Linked DNA regions of Caenorhabditis elegans. The protein of the gene in region 1 interacts with the protein of each later gene in a pairwise test. Each region holds a gene or a part of one and is shown on either strand. Other genes may lie near its edges.

Region 1 (5,032 bases):
TACTTATCATGTTATCAATTATTCCGTTCCATTTAAGATGTCACAGATGATCACTGATCGTATTGTTTTCCGTATGATCTATGAAACATTAAAACTTAGCAACTGTACGTTTTTCTCAATTCCGCCTCTTCCCTTAAAAATAATAAATCAGGTGATTTTTAATGTATTTTGAAATTTGTGTGTCGCATGTTTGTTTTCGTTGTCACTCTCACTTTACGTCTGAAAAGGAATTTTAATCGATTTTTCGAAGATCAAATTGTCAACCGTTTTCATTTTTGGCTTCAGTGGTAGGCAGGCATGTCGTCAGGACAGGCGATCGTGCCTTGCATACCTGCCGCCTATTTTCTGCATTCTGACGGGAAGCGCGGTGTTTCGTGCGATTTTCAAACAATGTTTGCGATTTTTGAGCGAAAGATACGGTGCCGGGTCTTGACACGACAAAAAAAATGATAAAAATTAACAGAGAAACTGAGAAAATACACGAGTGAAAAACACAATCTCATGGGAAATTTATAAAAATAAGAATTTAACAAAAGTTTGTCGTGCCGAGACCGGCTACCGTATTTTCGGCGCAATAATACCCGACAGTTCATAAGCCGGGTTTTTCAGAATGGGAGTCAAAAAAGGGTTACTGTAGCAGTAGTGTCCAATACATTCGCTTGTAAAGTACGGTACAAGGTGACCATCGGAAAGAACGGAAAATGTGAGAAGCTATTAAAATTACAATAAATCACATTTTTGAGATATCTGTTGTTTTCCATAACTCTTCATATTCATATTATTTCAAGTAAAAATCAGTTTGTCAAAATCAAAAAACAAACATCAAAAAACAAAAACTATAAAGATTCATTTTTTTGATAGTTTTTGACATTAACTACGTTGATTTTAACCGAATCTATCTAAATAAGTCAACCAGGCGAGTTTTAATGTTAAATTCAAAAAATTTAGCAAAAATGCTCGAAAAATTCAGCTGAAAATTGAAAAATCCTATTCTCCTCGAGAGACTGCGTAAATCCATCGCGACCAGCTCTTCCATTTCTAGACATGAGTTCGGAAGCCCGGGATTTGTAAAACCTGTAAATGAACCAAATCATTCTCAACCCCTCCCGTTCGAACTTCGAATGAGCTGCGTTTTCTTAAACTGAAATTCCAGAAATTACAGTCGTCTTTCAATATTGTATTCCCGATCTCTGCAAGACCCTTATCAGTCCTTCTATAAATTTCTCATTTTCTCTACCCACTCTCTCATTTTATAATTGTCTTTTCGTCGTTTCTTTCACATGTTTGTCACTTCTTTGCCCCCTTCTTCCCGCCATTCTTATCAAACACCCATCATACGCTCTCCAATACAATGTATTCTTTTTCTTCTTTTTCCAATCATTTTCCTGCTTCTTCATACTCTCTTTTTTTGTTCTTCACACACGTTTTAAGGATCATTGACAATTTGAAATCAGGAAGATCAGTTTTTATGAAGTCGGGTACAAAGAAGGATAGACTAAACTAGAATTTTGTTCTAGAAAAGTTTCAACTAGAAATTGAGATACTTTATTAAATGTTCAGATTTGAAAAATCTCTATGTTTTCCACCCTGGCATATACATATATACCGACATACGTGCCTACAGGCCAATGGCGCGCGGAATATGCCCACCAGTAATTCTACATGAGCCAGGGAGTTCTCATAGTATCTGAAATTTGAAAATGGAGGTAAAAAATTAGGCAAATTGCAACTTTCGAACAGTTTTTCGGACGAATAAAGGTTATTTTCCAATAAAACAAAAAATGCGATATATTCTGTCACCAAATTTAAATAAAAAATATCGAGAGAACATGCCACACTGGTTTGCTTTAGGTTTCCTATTCCTGCATTTCTGTAAATTAAATTATGTCTTTTCATGAGTAGGTGGTCTTCAAAGCTGCCTTGTAGGCACGTAGGTAGGCCTATCTAGGCTTAGATCTATGTAAGATCTAGTTTTTGGACATCTAATTTGAATTTAAACTTGCTCATCAAATATTCTATTCCGCTTCTTCCTACTTTTTATTATTGATTCATATTATCTAATAGAGCACAATTACATAAATATTTAGACAAAAAGTATGGTCGAAGAAATATGTCATATTTGCAACGACAAATCAACTGGTAAACACTACGGGGCAATCAGTTGTGATGGATGTAAAGGATTCTTTCGACGAAGTATTCGCAAACGATATCATTATCAATGCAGATTTGAACAAAATTGTGATGTTACCAAAAGTATGTTTATAGTTTTTAAAGTTTTTGGGCCGTTGGTTTCTGAAATTTCCAAAAGCAAGTCGGTCCTCCAATGTAATAAATATGTAATATTTCCTCTTATTTCAGATAAACGGAACGCATGTCGAGCATGTAGACTTCAAAAATGTGTAAAAGCGGGAATGAAGAGTAATGGTGAGATCATTCCAATACTTTTTTATAAAAATAGCCTGTACTATTTCAGCAATTCAAAATGAACGGGATGCAATTGGAAAACGGAAAAAGACTACGGGAGCTGAAAAAGAAGATTTGATAGATCAACTTGTTGCCGCAGAAACATTATGTCAGCAATTAAGGTCCAGTGTAATCAAGAATACATCTTCACTTGTAAGTTTGATTGGGATTAAACGCAGTGCTTCAAATTTCGTCAAGAGGGATTTCTTTCAATTTGGAAAGTTCTTGATTTTCTTTACTTAAGAAACACGGTTTAATTATGCCGGAATTTGTACCTGGTGGTTCTTTTTCCGCCCCCAGAAAAATCTGTTTTCTAGTTTCACCTCTTGATCTCAGTCAATAATCACATTGAATCCACGTGTTTTACAGGCACCATACGACTGTGGAAAAGTTAAATGGAATTATGAAGATGCGAGAGCTGCCACATTGGATGATATTGGAAAATCGATTCATCAACAATTGGTTCTTTTTATCGAATGGGCGAAGTCATTACCTCAATTCTCGTTTTTGGCTCAAGCAGATCAGGTATGATTTTTTTTCTATGAAAAATTTCAGAAAAATATTTGTTAGATGATTTTTTTTTTGATAAAATCAAAAACAACAGAGATATTATTTAGCTGTCATAGTAGCGAGTTTAATACTGAAAATACTGCAATTACTTGTTTCATACTTTCTTTTTTAAAAAATGACGACTTCTAGCAACAATTTCATAATTCCAGGCAGCTCTTCTCAAAGGCGGTGCCGCGTCAATAATTGTACTTGGAGTAGCATATCGATCGATTTGTCTGACAGTTGAAAATACAATTTGCCTTGCAAATGACACACTTCTTCCAAAAGAACATGCAACACAAGTGGGAGATATCAAGTGAGTATATTCTCATTTCATATCTGTATTCTCAGGTTTTGTACAGTCATTTCAGTTGTGTCGTCGGACGAATTATTGATGAAATTGTGAATCCAATGAGGAGGTTAAATATGGATTTAATTGAATATGTTGCACTGAAAGCTATTCTGTTTTTCAATCCAGTCGTCAGAGAAATCAACGATCAGAGTCCGGTGGAGAACGCCCGATATGCTTTTTTGAGGTCATTGCAGAGAAGGTTTATTTGACAATACTAGCTTCTATAACAAATGTAATATATTTCAGGTGTACTGACAAGGCACTTGAAAATATGGAAGACGAATCAATGGATTGCAGAAGTGGAAAGCTTTTGTTATTACTTCCATCACTTCAGGCTATTGCTCAACAATTGGTTAGTTACAATTGTTATTCAAATTAGTAATTTATGAATTTAAAGGTAGAAGATGTCCAACTTGCTCGTTTGTTCGGTCTCGTGAATGTCGATTCGTTAATGGAAGAACTTATTCTAAATGATATGAAACCTTCAGATCCACAGGTAATTTTTATTTTGAAAAGCAGAACAATGAAAGGAATATCTTAGTTATTGGCAACTTTCAAAACCTAAATCCTGAGCCCGGGGAATTTTATTTCAAACTCTTCCAAATGTGGAATATGCACAACAAATTTTGTTTAGTCTATCTAAGGAGAATAGGTCAATAAATATGCGGATTTCTTTTGTGCTTTGTGACTGTTAAGCTTATGGTGGTTTTGTGGAAGACCCTAATAAGTTCCAGAGACAATTTCAATCTCACAATTTTTGTTTTCAGATATTACAAACGAGTCTGGCATCACCGGTGAACTCGTCCGTTAAAGCAGAAGTTGAATTGGAAGAATAGTTTCCAATTTTCCAATATTTTATATTCAAGAGACCATAATCTCATCTTGCCTCCCTTCCTGCTCAAACCATCTAAATACTTCCAAACTTTGACTTCTAGAAATCGGGTCCCAACGGACACATTACTTACCTGCTCAAACCACCTCATTGTTTCCTTTTTCTATGTTGGTTTTATTATTATTTTAATAATTATTATTTCATGTCATGCAAATATTTGAAATTGTAACAACAATTAATTCGGTATCAGGAAAACAACAAAATATTGAAATTATTATACATTCGCAGCTGAAGCCATTCGGCTGCTTGGAGGTCGAAGGAATTGAGGAGCTGGTGTAGTTGGAGATTGATCCAAATGTAAATCTTCTCGACTCATGAGAGGAACCAAAACTGATGTTTTCCGTCGCAGACCTGAAAAGGGTGCATAGTATTCAGGCAAATGAGAACAAGTCTAAAATGTATTTATTTTTCATAAGCTATGAATGATACTAACACCTCTCGGAAATAGTTTCTCTTTGAAACTGACTCAAATTTTGCGAGACTCTTTTTTAACCGGATCATACTTTTTTAAACGGCAGAACAAATTTGCATTAACTAGATGAGCACCTTTATGATAATCAGTCTGAACATCTAGGTCTAGCCATCACAAAAAAAGACCGAGAATGCGTAATTCCAAATTGTTCGGTGGAAGAAAATGCATGATTCTTAGTACGCTTGGTCAGGTAATTCACTACGTTCTTGAAAACTTACTTGGTTCAATAGATAAACCACCAGCAGAAGCAGATCTATCATAGTCGTCACCGTAACTTTTATCTTCCAAAATCTCTCTGATTGTT
Region 2 (4,080 bases), on another chromosome or scaffold:
CATCCTGAAAAACATTGTCCGGAGCCACATCGACCCAGAGGGTTCGCACATGATCTTGAGCAATGCAGAGCTCCGCATTGACTCCATTCTTTTCTTGGATCCGGGCAAGATTGGGATGCTGGAACGCTTGCAGTTGATGGTGGAATTGATTTTCTAGAACATAATTGAGGGAGAATGCATGTGGAGTTTGGATCCTTCGAATCGGCAAGAACATACGGAAGTCGACAGAAACATCCAGGTTCACAAGAAAGAGCACAGTCAATTGACGCTGCTTGTGAAAGAGGTCGATCACAAGATGCAGGGCACTTGCTTCCACAGCTTTGATAGTTTTTCAATGGATGTTCACAGTGTTGCTCGGGAATAAGAGTGGGAAGTTTTTGTTGTGAAGTTGTTAATCCACGAGTGGTAGTAGTGAATACGGGAGATGGTGTAGCTCTTGGGGAGGTTGGATATTGAATATTCGTATTTCCAAAACTTCCAATCATTCCAGGATTACGCTGCACAAATTGCTCAACTATTTCTGGCGCTGGTGTTGGGATTTCGGGGCACGAAGATGGAAGAATGCATCTGAAAATAGACCAATTTTAAAGTTTCTGTTACGGTTTAATCGAGTTTTGTCCATTCGGTTCAAAATCTTGTTAAAGTTTTCCCAATGTGAATATTTTTCTTGTAAAAGTAATATAAAAATGGAGAATTTTTTTTAAATCAGCAGCCACTTCCGAGTTTAAGCTTAACCTACCTTGAATGAAGAGGATCGTCTGCATTTTCAAGGATAAACGGAATTTTACAGAAGCATCCAGTCACACATCTCTCATTACATCTCGGTTGATTTCTTGTAGCACAACTAATTGGGCATGCACTTCCACATGTCTGATATTGCCTTTTCTCGTCTGCACAACGAATCGTCAGATCATAAGCTTGACACAAGCCTCGCGGAACACATGCTGAACGGGGAGAGCTGTCACGTCGGATGTATCCTAGCAATGATGAAGAGTTAATATATAGTTAACTATCGAAAGTTACCTGGTAGGCAAATGCATCCAGGTTGGCATCCGGGAGCCGGGCAAGCTGGTGTTGAAGGATCTTGACATGATGGTTGACAAGAGGAGAAACATGCTGAATATTGCTCATTCGCGCCACATACCATGGCAATCGTTGGGTTTACTGAAAAAATGTAAAATGTTATAAGAAGCTAGTTTAGGCAGACAACAGACTTTCATTAGAAATAGGTTCGTTCATTATTTTTGTTAATGCTGGTAAGCAAGCGTGATAGTTAGAGTTAGTTATGGAACCGGGGCAACATTTAGATCCCCGTTCACATTCAGAATCACAGAAGCAACGGGTTAGTGTGGTTATAGAAGTGTTCAACGGGAGGGGGCATTCTCCAGGTGATGTACTCTTGCATGTCTGTAAATATGTCTTGAATTTTTGAAATTAGAGAACTGATTGATACCTCTTCCCTTTCTTTTTGTTCTCTTAATAATGCAGCAGCTTTCAATGCAAGATTTTCTTGTTTTCTTCTCACAGTTTCACATCCCTTTTCGTCTTTGCTTTCTTTTCCGGATAATCTTCTTCCATACCTTGTCACGCACCAACAAACTTCTGTTCCAGCCAAGCATTGTCTGAAATTGGGTTTATTGTAGTCTGATAGTGAGATGTCTGTGATGCTACAAATATTTTTGAGAATATTGGGTATCTTCAGCTAAATTTGAAACTTTGTAACTAATACTGTTCTCACTATGTTCCTATTCAATATCTGAATTCCCTTTTACCTTCTTCTCCATGCCAATCCACTTTCCTCACATAGTGGTATCGCTTGTCCAACAATTTCCAACGATCTAAGCTCATCGAGAAGCTCTCGTCTCCTCATTGCACATGCTACAAAAATTTGAAATAGACAAAGAGGGGAGAATTCAATTGTATGTCATATTGTGTAATTAGTTTGGCTCTCGAATGGCATGATCTGCATGCTAATTATATATTATGAGAGCTTGTACATATTGGGTCATTCATTTATTTTTTATATGTATTTTATTTGTCGCTTGACTTATAACCACTTGAGAAATGGAGACTAATCTTTCTGAAGAAAAACGTAAGCAATTTTAGAAAATATGTTTTGAAAGAAACAAATCAATATTTTAGAAAAACCGTCAAAATCACAAGCCCAGCAGAGAAGACAAATGGAAAATTATGAATTCTCACAGCTAGCCAATGAACTTCCATTGGCAAGAGCAATTTCTGGACAGCATATTGATAAAACAACGATGGTTAGATTAGCAACTGCTTATATCAAACTTCACAATATATTTGGGCAATCTCAAAGAGCCTACAGTTCAGCTGACTATTATTATGGAAGTGACTCTTTATGGACTAACAATCATTTAGATGTAAGGATGGTTTTTTACCGTTTTTTTTTTAATTTCAATTTCAGCTACTAGATGGATTCTTTGTGATACTGGACAGGCGCGGAGATGTACTTTACATAAGTGAAACTATTAGTATTTACTTGGGCTTGTCACAAGTTGAAATGACTGGCAACGCGATGGTTGATTATATTCATGAACAGGATATCAATTGCTTTAACTCGGTAACTTTTAAGTTTTTGATTTAACATAATTAAATTCAGGAAAAATATTTTATTATAGTTACAAGTTTTGAACTTTCACAAAAACATCCTGAAATCAAGTATGGAAAGAAGTTTAAGCTTACAGCTGTAGCCTAATTAAGTTGCAATAATTTTTAAAACATTTTTTAAAAATATATATTATTTTTAATATATATTTTTAATTTTTTTTCTGTTTTTTAAAAGCAACTCCTAACTGGAATCATTTTGGAGTCATTTTCGCACAATCTCAGAGAATTTTTTGACTAAATGTAGTAATTTCTCTTTACAGGCCCTTAACTATTGTGACCTTAATTGGCCTCAAATGTGCAACGTACGTGTTAAATCTAGTCTCACAAAGCGAGCAAACAAGGATGCAGTTCGTGCTTCACCTGGATACAAGGTTCTTCGTCTAGAAATTACAATGGGTCCAAATACAAATACTAGAATGATTGCATGTTATCCAATGCCTACTCCAGTTCTTTCTACAGTAACCATTCCTTCTAATTCATTTGTTATCATTACATCCATCGATCTTCATATAACATTTGCTGATGAAAAAGCTCATCAGTTGCTTAATAACCCATTTTACCCAGATTCAAATATCAAAGGAATGTCATTATATTCACTGATTGATATCTCAGATTCTGAAGTTATATCAAAAATGCATTTCGATATTTTCAACCTGGGCGCTTATAAAACCCCGTACTATCGAATGATCTTGAATCAAACAAGTGAAACTTTTTACGTCGAGTCAAATATTTTTCGTCATACTTCGATTTCCTCTAAACAGTTTAATGACTCGATCACATTTGTTTCCTCAATTCTATGACCTCCAACTTTATTTTATTTCTTTTTTTATTACGCTAATTTCAAAGAAGATAAACACTTTGGTTTCAAATTTAAAAAATAAACGCACTTTTACAACATTTTCCCTCGATGCAAAGTTCTTCTTGATGAGTACAATCCTCATCTCTTGAGCACCTTTTTGACCATCTAGATTCATCTGGACATGGCTCATCAGCTGGGGGATCCGATGTGATATTTAATGGTCTTTTTGGTTTAGGACTAGTTGCTGAGAAATAGTGCAGTGTGTTAGATTATGTTAGTAAAAGTATTGATAGTTAATTGTAGGCAAAAAATAAAACAAGATAGAAACTCACGTTCTCGTTGAAGAGAAAATGTTGGCAAAACGTTGGGACAGCAAAATCCATTATCACAGATTTCGCCAATAAAACAGTCATCCTGCATACGGCATCGATAGTATGAATATCTACTGTCTGCACAATGTCGACATGATCCTTCGGCTTCACATAATCCTAAAAAAAATAAGCAGTTAAAACTATCGATTATGTGGTAGGCAGGCACATCTGCAGGTATCATACCTGCGTAACTTTCGTAGTTTTTTGTGAAGTTCGGTTTTTTTTTTTTGATTTTCTTATTTTAGCATTAGTGTGGGTCTTTTTTCTCAGTTTTCG

Evidence for each region.
Region 2: the proteins of nhr-69 (region 1) and hlh-34 interact in a two-hybrid assay, tested with the Caenorhabditis elegans proteins (one large-scale study listed by BioGRID).

Annotation. Positions count from the first base shown.
Region 1 is NC_003279.8:9,878,558-9,883,589, reverse strand, and holds nhr-69 (Nuclear hormone receptor family member nhr-69), read left to right. Parts: upstream 1-2,085; 5' UTR 2,086-2,096; coding exon 2,097-2,253; intron 2,254-2,358; coding exon 2,359-2,424; intron 2,425-2,473; coding exon 2,474-2,616; intron 2,617-2,832; coding exon 2,833-2,988; intron 2,989-3,182; coding exon 3,183-3,328; intron 3,329-3,383; coding exon 3,384-3,563; intron 3,564-3,610; coding exon 3,611-3,716; intron 3,717-3,761; coding exon 3,762-3,860; intron 3,861-4,131; coding exon 4,132-4,200; 3' UTR 4,201-4,407; downstream 4,408-5,032. Other genes in the region: inx-20 (Innexin), read right to left, coding at 4,471-4,607, 4,947-5,032. UniProt on the Caenorhabditis elegans protein: Orphan nuclear receptor which, in cooperation with R-SMAD daf-8, modulates the Insulin/IGF-1-like signaling (IIS) pathway, perhaps by regulating expression of the potassium channel exp-2, which in turn modulates the secretion of insulin-like peptide daf-28.
Region 2 is NC_003283.11:13,705,340-13,709,419, reverse strand, and holds hlh-34 (Helix-loop-helix 34), read left to right. Parts: upstream 1-2,024; 5' UTR 2,025-2,064; coding exon 2,065-2,092; intron 2,093-2,142; coding exon 2,143-2,387; intron 2,388-2,431; coding exon 2,432-2,587; intron 2,588-2,894; coding exon 2,895-3,434; 3' UTR 3,435-3,453; downstream 3,454-4,080. Other genes in the region: T01D3.3 (Thyroglobulin type-1 domain-containing protein), read right to left, coding at 1-567, 740-977, 1,024-1,164, 1,215-1,407, 1,454-1,622, 1,773-1,878, 3,522-3,677, 3,766-3,921. UniProt on the Caenorhabditis elegans protein: Transcription factor. Involved in specifying AVH neuron identity, acting in concert with unc-42. Involved in serotonin-mediated feeding behavior, probably acting by modulating expression of genes involved in glutamate signaling.